2 linked regions of the Oryzias latipes genome follow. The protein of the gene in region 1 binds, or shares a complex with, the protein of each later gene. Links are inferred from orthologs where the notes say so. Each region holds a gene or a part of one and is shown in the gene's direction. Other genes may lie near its edges. The genes, in order: lsm11 and lsm10.

The links.
Region 2: lsm11 (region 1) and lsm10 share a complex: the UniProt entries of both Homo sapiens proteins name them as parts of the heptameric ring U7 snRNP complex. The link is inferred for Oryzias latipes from reciprocal best matches to the Homo sapiens genes LSM11 and LSM10.

What each region holds. Positions count from the first base shown.
Region 1 is NC_019868.2:20,588,719-20,593,109, forward strand, and holds the start of lsm11 (U7 snRNA-associated Sm-like protein LSm11), read left to right. Parts: upstream 1-1,355; 5' UTR 1,356-1,453; coding exon 1,454-1,880; intron 1,881-2,135; coding exon 2,136-2,275; intron 2,276-2,353; coding exon 2,354-2,437; intron 2,438-4,123; coding exon 4,124-4,391. Other genes in the region: thg1l (probable tRNA(His) guanylyltransferase), read right to left, coding at 48-217, 305-481, 586-773. UniProt on the Homo sapiens protein: Component of the U7 snRNP complex that is involved in the histone 3'-end pre-mRNA processing. Increases U7 snRNA levels but not histone 3'-end pre-mRNA processing activity, when overexpressed. Required for cell cycle progression from G1 to S phases.
Region 2 is NC_019869.2:19,827,181-19,831,397, forward strand, and holds lsm10 (U7 snRNA-associated Sm-like protein LSm10), read left to right. Parts: upstream 1-1,648; 5' UTR 1,649-1,824; intron 1,825-2,716; 5' UTR 2,717-2,777; coding exon 2,778-3,182; 3' UTR 3,183-3,697; downstream 3,698-4,217. Other genes in the region: protein OSCP1-like, read left to right, coding at 58-112, 330-452. UniProt on the Homo sapiens protein: Appears to function in the U7 snRNP complex that is involved in histone 3'-end processing. Increases U7 snRNA levels but not histone 3'-end pre-mRNA processing activity, when overexpressed. Required for cell cycle progression from G1 to S phases.

The sequences.
Region 1 (4,391 bases):
TTATATGGTCATTTTGGATGCAGTAGTGGTAGAACATGAGTGCTTACAGTCCGCTTGCCTCCAGCTGAGGTAGTCTCTAAGGTTACGGTTAGTGGGGTAAAGAACCACACGTCCGTCGAAGCTTGGGGGGTAAAGGAGGGGCTGTTCTTCAAAATACTCCTTCCAGTAGAAGACATAGGAGGAGGAGAACTGGGAGGCCACGTGGGTCATGAGTTTGCTGCCAGAAAAAAAACAAGAAAGGAAGATAAGTTTCATCTTAAATGAGCATAATAAAGTAGAAAAATTTTATAAGAGAGCAAACTACCTGGCTCTTCGTTTAAACCAATTGGAGGTCCTCTTGAAAACAAAGCTAAACTCGTCACTTTGACCATAAGCAATGATGATATCCTCCAATTCTTCCATGACAGACTGTGCACTCCTGGTCATGAGCCCTAAAGCTCTGTTATCATTGGGTTTTGTAAAACCATGTTGCTCTGAAAACCTAAAACAAGGTGAAAAAAACAAAACAATAAAATGTTCAAAGTTCAGAAAATATCAACAAATCACCAGCCATTTACACCAGTACAGAATAAACTACAAACTTACTTGTGGAAATTGCGACCATCCAGCCTAACAACAATATAACAGTTCCGTAGGCATGTGTCGTCCGTTTCAAAGCTGCGGACATACTCAAATTTGCTCTTAGCCATATTAGGAGAATTATAAAAGTGACGAAAAAAAGGAACAAAATAGGACCGTGGTCCACTAAAACTCCAAAGTTTTCCAATCAACATCAAGCATTCCCGAGAGAAAAAAATTACAAGAGTAGAGATAAATATTTTATAGTAAATAAACGTCTTGTATCGACGTCAAATCCATTTAAATGGTTAATGTTTAAATACTTGTCTGCCTTTGACGTATTTCTGTGGTCCTCCTTCACGTTGTTTTGAGTGCAGTCCGTCGATTAATGTTGTAGTTGTAAACCATAAGCTGTGACACATAGTTCCGGAGGGGGAGGAATACATTAATGTAAAAAAAAAGTAAATTGTTCCAAAAGAAAATACAACATGACAAAAGTATGATTACATACAATACATTTTTATAACGGTAAATTGATTAATCCACTTTTTCTAAGTTAATTTCAGCATGATGTCTACGATTAGAGCAATGCGCCTTAATTCCCTGTTCTTTAGTGACATCTTGTGTTCAATTGTTGTAATTTAACTTTCTTTTTTTTTTTTTTTAGCACCGGAGGTTGTGGGACTTGTAGTTGAAAAATTATTTCAGATTCTATTTTTAAATTGTATTTATTTCAATATCAAGCAATAAGTCAAATGTGAAAATAAACAGTCAATAATATAAATGATGAACGCCAGTTAAGTTTAAATGAGGGAACACGTTTTTTTTTTTAAGTTTGAGTTTTCCCAGCATTCATTGCTTCTGCAAAATCCGCTCTTTTGCGGTTGTTTCAAATATGGAGGAAAGAGAAAGAAAATCCGTTGAACCAGACCATAATGTGACTGAAGCAACGTCTGCTGAGGGCGCAACGGGACGAGACAACGAGAGCAGCGACCCCGCGGACAAAATAAACGTCTGCTCAGACAACTTTGATCCGCTTCTGGCCCTGTACTCTTCGACTGCGCCGCCGCTTCCTTTCCCAAACATCAAGTGCTTCAACAATGTGGCCGAGTACGAGAGCTTTCTGAAAGGCGGTCGGGGTCGAGCAAAACCGGAGAATGTCGAGAAAAGGCGACGAAAAGCGCTGAAAGGAGTCGCGGATCCGGAGCGCATTGACAGACTGAGGAAGCTGATGGTTTCCTCCTCGCAGGAAGGAGAGGGTAGCACCGCGAAACCGAGGAGGAAGCAGAAGATTCTGAAAAATGTCCTGACCAGGATGCCCCGTAGGTTCAGAAACACGCCTGTAGTTCACTATATCATATACATATAAGTTAACCAATCAGCTTAAAGAAGAATAACCTGAGTATTGTTGGTAATTAATAATAATATCCCAGTTTATAACTGATCAGAGAGTTCAACACACAGCTTTTGTAGACTTTTAAAGTTTGAGGAGTAAACATATAACATATATTTTTTAGGAAAACATCATTTAAAAGGGTTTGGTTTTTATGTAATTGCTCCATCTTCTGCATTCTCAGTGTGCAAGGGGAGTCCTTTGGGTGAACTGCATCGCTGCATCCAGGAGCGGATAAGAATCAAAGTTCACATCAGGACCTTCAAAGGAATGAGGGGCGTGTGCTCTGGCTTTCTTGTGGCCTTTGACAAGTTCTGGAACATGGTTGGGAAATTCTCTCCATTCTTGTTACCTTCTTGGATTTGTGACAGGAGTGTTTATGTTGTCATTTCTCCCCGACAGGCTATGGTGGATGTGGATGAGACGTACAGGGAGCCGCTGTTCGGGGAGGCGTTGTACCACGAGAAGGCGCTCACCATTTCACGGGTTTGTACTCACGGAAAAACAATAGTAATATTTTCATAATTATGGGCACCAATTACTACTTACTCACTGTAAAAAGTGTAATAAAACATTTGGAGGTTGAGGTTTAAAGATCCACTCATTTTTGAGTATTTCTTTATTCAAATTACTATGAAACAGGAGCAGACGAAAAAAGGCAATTGGAAAAAGCTTGAACGTGTGACGTACAAGTCACTACGGCAAGCCACAAGGTCCTTGCTCCATTCTGACGTACGTCTTTGATTTCCCCATTCGAGCTGGCATTCGGCTCAAAACTGTGCGGCGATGTTGCTCCCATTTTTGTTGCACCGGTAACATTAGGTTGGGGTTGTGAGGGGCTGACGGGAGAGAGTGTTAAAAAAAAGGGGGGGGATCATGGGAAGTAAGGCCAGACTTACTCTGTGCCAACATTCCAACCCAGAACTCAAAGACAAATTTTATTTTATTTTGGCTTAAAACGACATAATCATATAATTAAAAGACCACTGGGAACGCTTTCATAAAAAGATCTAAAGATGATTGGAGTTCATCTTTAAATATTTGCAGCATATAGAAGGATCTTAAACCTCCTAAAACTCTGGATGCACATTTGGGAACATTACATTTTTGAGTTTCGTCAACATAAAATTTAAAATTATTGTTTTGTGATATCGGCCTGTGCGACAGACGTGTCGCAAAAGACAGCATACACTGTGATAAATGATTAACTTTAATGTTTACACAAATACTAAAACAACCTTATGGCACCTTAAAAGTATTTAAAAAAATCAAGCAAATCCCTTTATTCCTTTGACAAATCGGATGTGGCCCATGACATCGTTGACTAATCAAACAGACTGCCATTATGTTACCTCGTATGTAAACTTGGGTCATTTGGAGTACAATATAAATTATGTTGACTTTTATTTAAATAGAACTGTTGCAATGAAATGGAAATGATGCATTTGCTGTTTCTTTTGGAATTTGTTCATGTATTTATAGCCATCACATTTATATTGCCATCACAATATTGATCATCAATATCGCACATCGCATGTTTTACTCATATTTTGCAGCAGTACAAAAGGGAAAGATAGTAAAAAAATATATATATATAGATAGATATAAATATTACTATTGACATCATGCATTATAAATTTGTCAAATCTGTTGACTTTCTTTTTCCTTTCAAGTAATTAAAAGGCGGAAAAATGACCTTTTCTGTAATATTTGAATAAAGCTTTTCCAAATTTCTTTTTTTATAATCAAAGTTTTATGTTGCAAAAATTGTTTTCCATAGAGAAACACATATTTTAAAAGGACATTTTTAAAATCCGTAATAAACTTAGTTGTTTCTACTCAGCCCTGTTCATCACAATCATGTAAAACATCCCATAAAAACTATTTATGGAATTTATAGTTTTTTGATAGATTTTAAAAGTAATGGTTCAGAAATGAATGTCTAACACTTTAGGACCATTTGCAGGAAGATCATGTTAGTTTTTAGCTTTGAATTTGTATCTTTTTTTTTGGTTGTTTATATGTTAATTTAAAGAGGAAATACTATATTTGTGTCTGTATACTTCTGGTTTTGTCCGTCACAGTGGTGGGTTTTATTACCACATTTGCCACACTCATTCATTCTTGTTTGCTCAACATTAAAAGGAATATTGCTGCCTGTGTTTTGTCCAGCTCTTTGAGAAGCTGAATCTTCAGGAAAGCCCAGGCGGGACTGACGTCCAGGAAAAAGCCGACCAGCATCCACCTGCAAATCCCAGAGCTGCCCCGGAAAGCTGCTTTGCTCAGATGGAGGGTGACGGCGCGACATCCCAGTCCGACCTGCCAGAAGCTATTAAAAGCAAACAGGGTAAACTCCAAGTCTCACTGAAGGCGAAGGACCCGCACATGCATCCGAAGGGGGAATCCCAAAAGTACGGGAAAGTCTACACACGCCACATCA
Region 2 (4,217 bases), on another chromosome or scaffold:
TCTCCATCCCTGCAGAGAAGTCCTTTTCTTCTCAGAGATCTTTGTGTTGCTGAACAGGGGAACTTCTGGAGGAGCTCAGGACTTTGACGTCATCAACATTCAAGCCATGCAGGTGGTTTTTCGTTAACAGAAACACAGCACACCAGATATAGTTAATGAGTCAAAAGCTTTCTGTGTGACGATTTAAAAATGTCATGAAAATCTAACTAAATTTGGACAACTTATTTGAATTTGTAAATTTATTGTTTAATTTTATTTAACCAGTTTGATCTTTAATATGATCATTTTGGTGTGTGTGTGTTTGTGTGTGTTTTTGTGTGTGCGTTCAGGATGAACAGGCATCTGCTGAGCTCGCTCGAATCGCCGCTCAGTTTGCAGAGGAAGAGCTGAAGCACGAAGACCAAGGCAGCAGCAAAGGAGACGAGCTGCTGGCCATGATGGATGACCTCTGACTGACCCCTGTGATTTTATCCTGTTACAATAACAAAGATGCAGTACACATTCAGGGCAGCTTTGTATCTGTCTCTATCTCAGTTTCATCAGTCAGTCTATCTGTGAGATGTAAAGTTAACATGAGGATTATTAACAGATTGAATTTCCAGTTGGCATGTTTTAATAAAGTTTTAAAGTATTATTATTATTATTATTATTATAGTATTTTTTTAAACTGGGACTTTGATTAAATCTGTAACATAATAAATCTGCATGAAAGATCAAGGAGGACAATCATGAAAATGAGGCATTTTTGTTGGGATTAGGATCATTCAGGATAATCTCAAATGGTTTATTCATCTGTATAGCTCTCCATGTGTTCCTCAAGGATCTGTTTTGGAACCACTTTTACTTTAAACGAACTATCTCGATAAATACTTGAACAACGGTGATCTTAACTTTTATAATGCTTGTATGTGATACGTCATCCCAGATCAGTTTTACTAGAAAATCAATGTTAAAAATTACACATCAGATTGATTATTCAAAGCTATGATTTAAAAAAGACGTATCAAATAGTTCATTAAATTTTACCAAAAGTAAATTATTATGGAATTTTACCTCAGGCATTTCAGTAACAATTCAAATATTCAGGGTTAGATTAAAGAATCTTCTTATGTTTATATTTTATTAAATCCAGAGTCAGATAAACTCAGATACAGAATTTTAAAAATTAAAAGGGTAAATGAAGTACGTTTTTTCTACAGTATTTTTCAATACATTGAGTTTTTGTTATTGTTAGAAAAGAATATTATATCCTATTAAATTGTTGTAAACCTCTCAGATCACCTTATAAAGTCCCAAATGCCTTAAAAACAGAATTCGGTGATAACATGATCTTGATAGCTGAGAATCACAAACATATTTAGAAGAAAAAGAACAAGAAGAAGAAGCTTTATTTATTGAAAAGGAAATTAAAAAGCGTCCAGGTCCTTGCATTCACCACACACAATCCAATAAACAATAATAAAAAAAGCCATAAAAACAATCCATATTAAAACATTGTTAAAGTTTAAAGAGGATTAATTAATTTCCTAATTTTCTTCTTTTATTGACAGCTGACGTATGTTATTGTTAGTACATCTAACAAAAATCAAATCTAATGGTCGGGTGTTGTGACCGTTTTAAATAAAGCTTTCATTCTAAAAAAAAGGCTGCTCATTCATTGGCTGCGAGGTTCTGACGTCAGTACGTATAATACGTCGACCTGAATGCGGGAAATCAACTTTTAAAGTGACGTGGGGCAGAGTCTGCGAGATTGCTGGTTCCAACAACATTTATCGGAAGAATATCAAACCAGAGTTACACTAGACTCATGTCCGGCATATTTTGGTAAATGTTTTGGCAACTTTCGCTTCATAATGGAAGAGTTACGGAGCTTCGTTTAGCTAAAGCTAATGGCTAACTCTGTGTGTTTTGTATTTTCTCGTTTAAATGTCTTGAGTGACTTTAATTCCTCTGGTGCTTTGCTATTCAAGCTAACTGATAATTAGATGTTCAAATGCAGCAGCTGCCATATTTAACCTTAAAAAAGATTTAAATGGGAACTGTTCGACTTTGCTGACAAATAATAAGCTTTTGTCTTTGGTCGTAATGTTTACTTTTCCGCGCTGACAGCTGATCCTGGGCTGTTTCACGGAGTTCCAAATGGTTCTGAGATCTAATATATTCCATCATTTTTTTTAAAATGTTCTTCATATAAGGAAGCAAGTCAGCTACAATCGAGCATGTTTAAAAAAAGGTGTTTTTCTCTAACATCAAAATGTCCCGCAAAGATTTATGGGAAATAATACTCTGCTTGATTTAGATGGAGGCTCCAGAGTAGATGTTGTCTGCTGGGAAATGTATTTATTAGTTTGTCCTATAGTTATACAATGTAAAACATTGTAGACAAAATACACAAATGCAGGATCATGACCCAGACTCCTGATCAAATCAAATAGAGATTACAAAGACTTTTGAGAGAAAAGATCAGTGTTTTTCTCGGTTTGTGCACTTTTTAATATTGAGAGGAAATCCATATCCATGACCTTAAACTTTAACCTGAGAGAATTCTGGTGCTGAATGTTGGAGCAAGGTCAGGCAGAATCATCTCGGGTCAAAAGCTTTAAAAACTCCAAAAATATAAGTTCTGATGTCAAAGAAAAACTTCTGGAGGCTGAACTCAGATAAAATGTAATAATGAAACTTGTTGTTTTGACTGGTTGTGTTTTTTCCTGCGGAGGGGGGGTCCCTGGTGTCACACTTAAAGCCCCCCACTGCTCCGTCCTCCGCTCCTAGACTCCATGGAACCTGAGGCGGTCGAGTCCGCCACAGTGGGGGTGGAGGTGGTGAACTCCATCCGCGAGCGGACGATCGCGGAGAACAGCATGGTGGTCCTGCTGCAGGGGCTGCAGGGGGAGGTGACCACGGTGGACCTGAGGGACGAGAGCTCAGCTCGGGGGCTCGTGCTCAATGTGGACGCCTTCATGAACATCCGTCTGAAGGATGTGCTCTTCCTGGACCGGCGGGGGCAGACCGCCCAGCTGCAGGACCTGTTCATCACCGGCAGAAACGTGCGCTACGTGCACATCCCCGACCACGTGGACATCATGAAGACCATGGAGAGCCAGCTGGCCAAGATCCACCGGGTACGCAACTTCGCCGGCGAAGGCGGGGGCAGGAAGGAGTTTGGCGGGAGGAAAAAATGACAATTTGATGGAAATTTCTGGAGCTTCAGCCTAACCCCACCCTGAGGGTAACCCCTCCAACTGACGTGGAGACTGTCTTCAAAAACAGATTTCACTACAAAATGTTGAAATAATGGACAAATTAATGAAATATGCAGATTTTTTTAAAACACTTTCAGCCTTAAAATAAAGTTGTTTTGTTCCTGATCTGTTGGGGAAAAAAAGTAAACTTAAAAAATAAATATTCATGTAAATATAAACATTTGGACAATTGAGTTTGAAGGATGACATGTTTATCATGTTAACATTTATTTTTGCTGGAAATGAATACAAATATAATCGTAGTCCTTTTCTTATTTAGCTCCAGCCATCCTAAAACAGAATGGATTTGATTGTTTTGACCCATCTTAGTTGCCGTAAAAACTTTTCCTTTAAAATTTTTGTGTAAAATTAAAGCCATTTGAAGCAATTTTATGCATTTTTTTTATTTAATAAAAATATAGCTAAAACTTTAAGGTGTGAATAAAGTGACCTGACTGAATACATGTTTGTGATTTTCTTGCTCAACTGCAATTTCAGTTTTCCGCCTGCAGGGGGCGAAAATTTTCTTTGGTTGGAGAAGCAGCTTCGTAGCTGTGAAAAAAGGGGATATTTCTGTAAAATAACACTTGTAGTTGATGCAGTTATAATAAAAAAACTTTCATTTTTCTTGTTTTTTCCTATATTTACTTGCAGCTTGTTAAACACTGTGGCAGAGAAATAATCAAAACATCTGTTGGGTACTCAGAAAGTAGTAGATAATTCATTTATTTTCTGGTTTGGACCCAAAAGCACCATCAACACTGAAACATTTCTCAGTTCGGGACTTTCTAGCAGATGTCCTCAGTTACTTAAGTCCCAATGACAAAAAGAGCTTCTCTCCAGGAGGCTCCAGCTATTGTCCTCAGCTCCAAACAGGTTGTAGATTATATTTTTAATCCAAAGAATGAAGACATTTTATCAAACCTCTATTACAGGAGCATCAGGGTCTCAAAGGGCTCGTCTTTTGCTGATTTA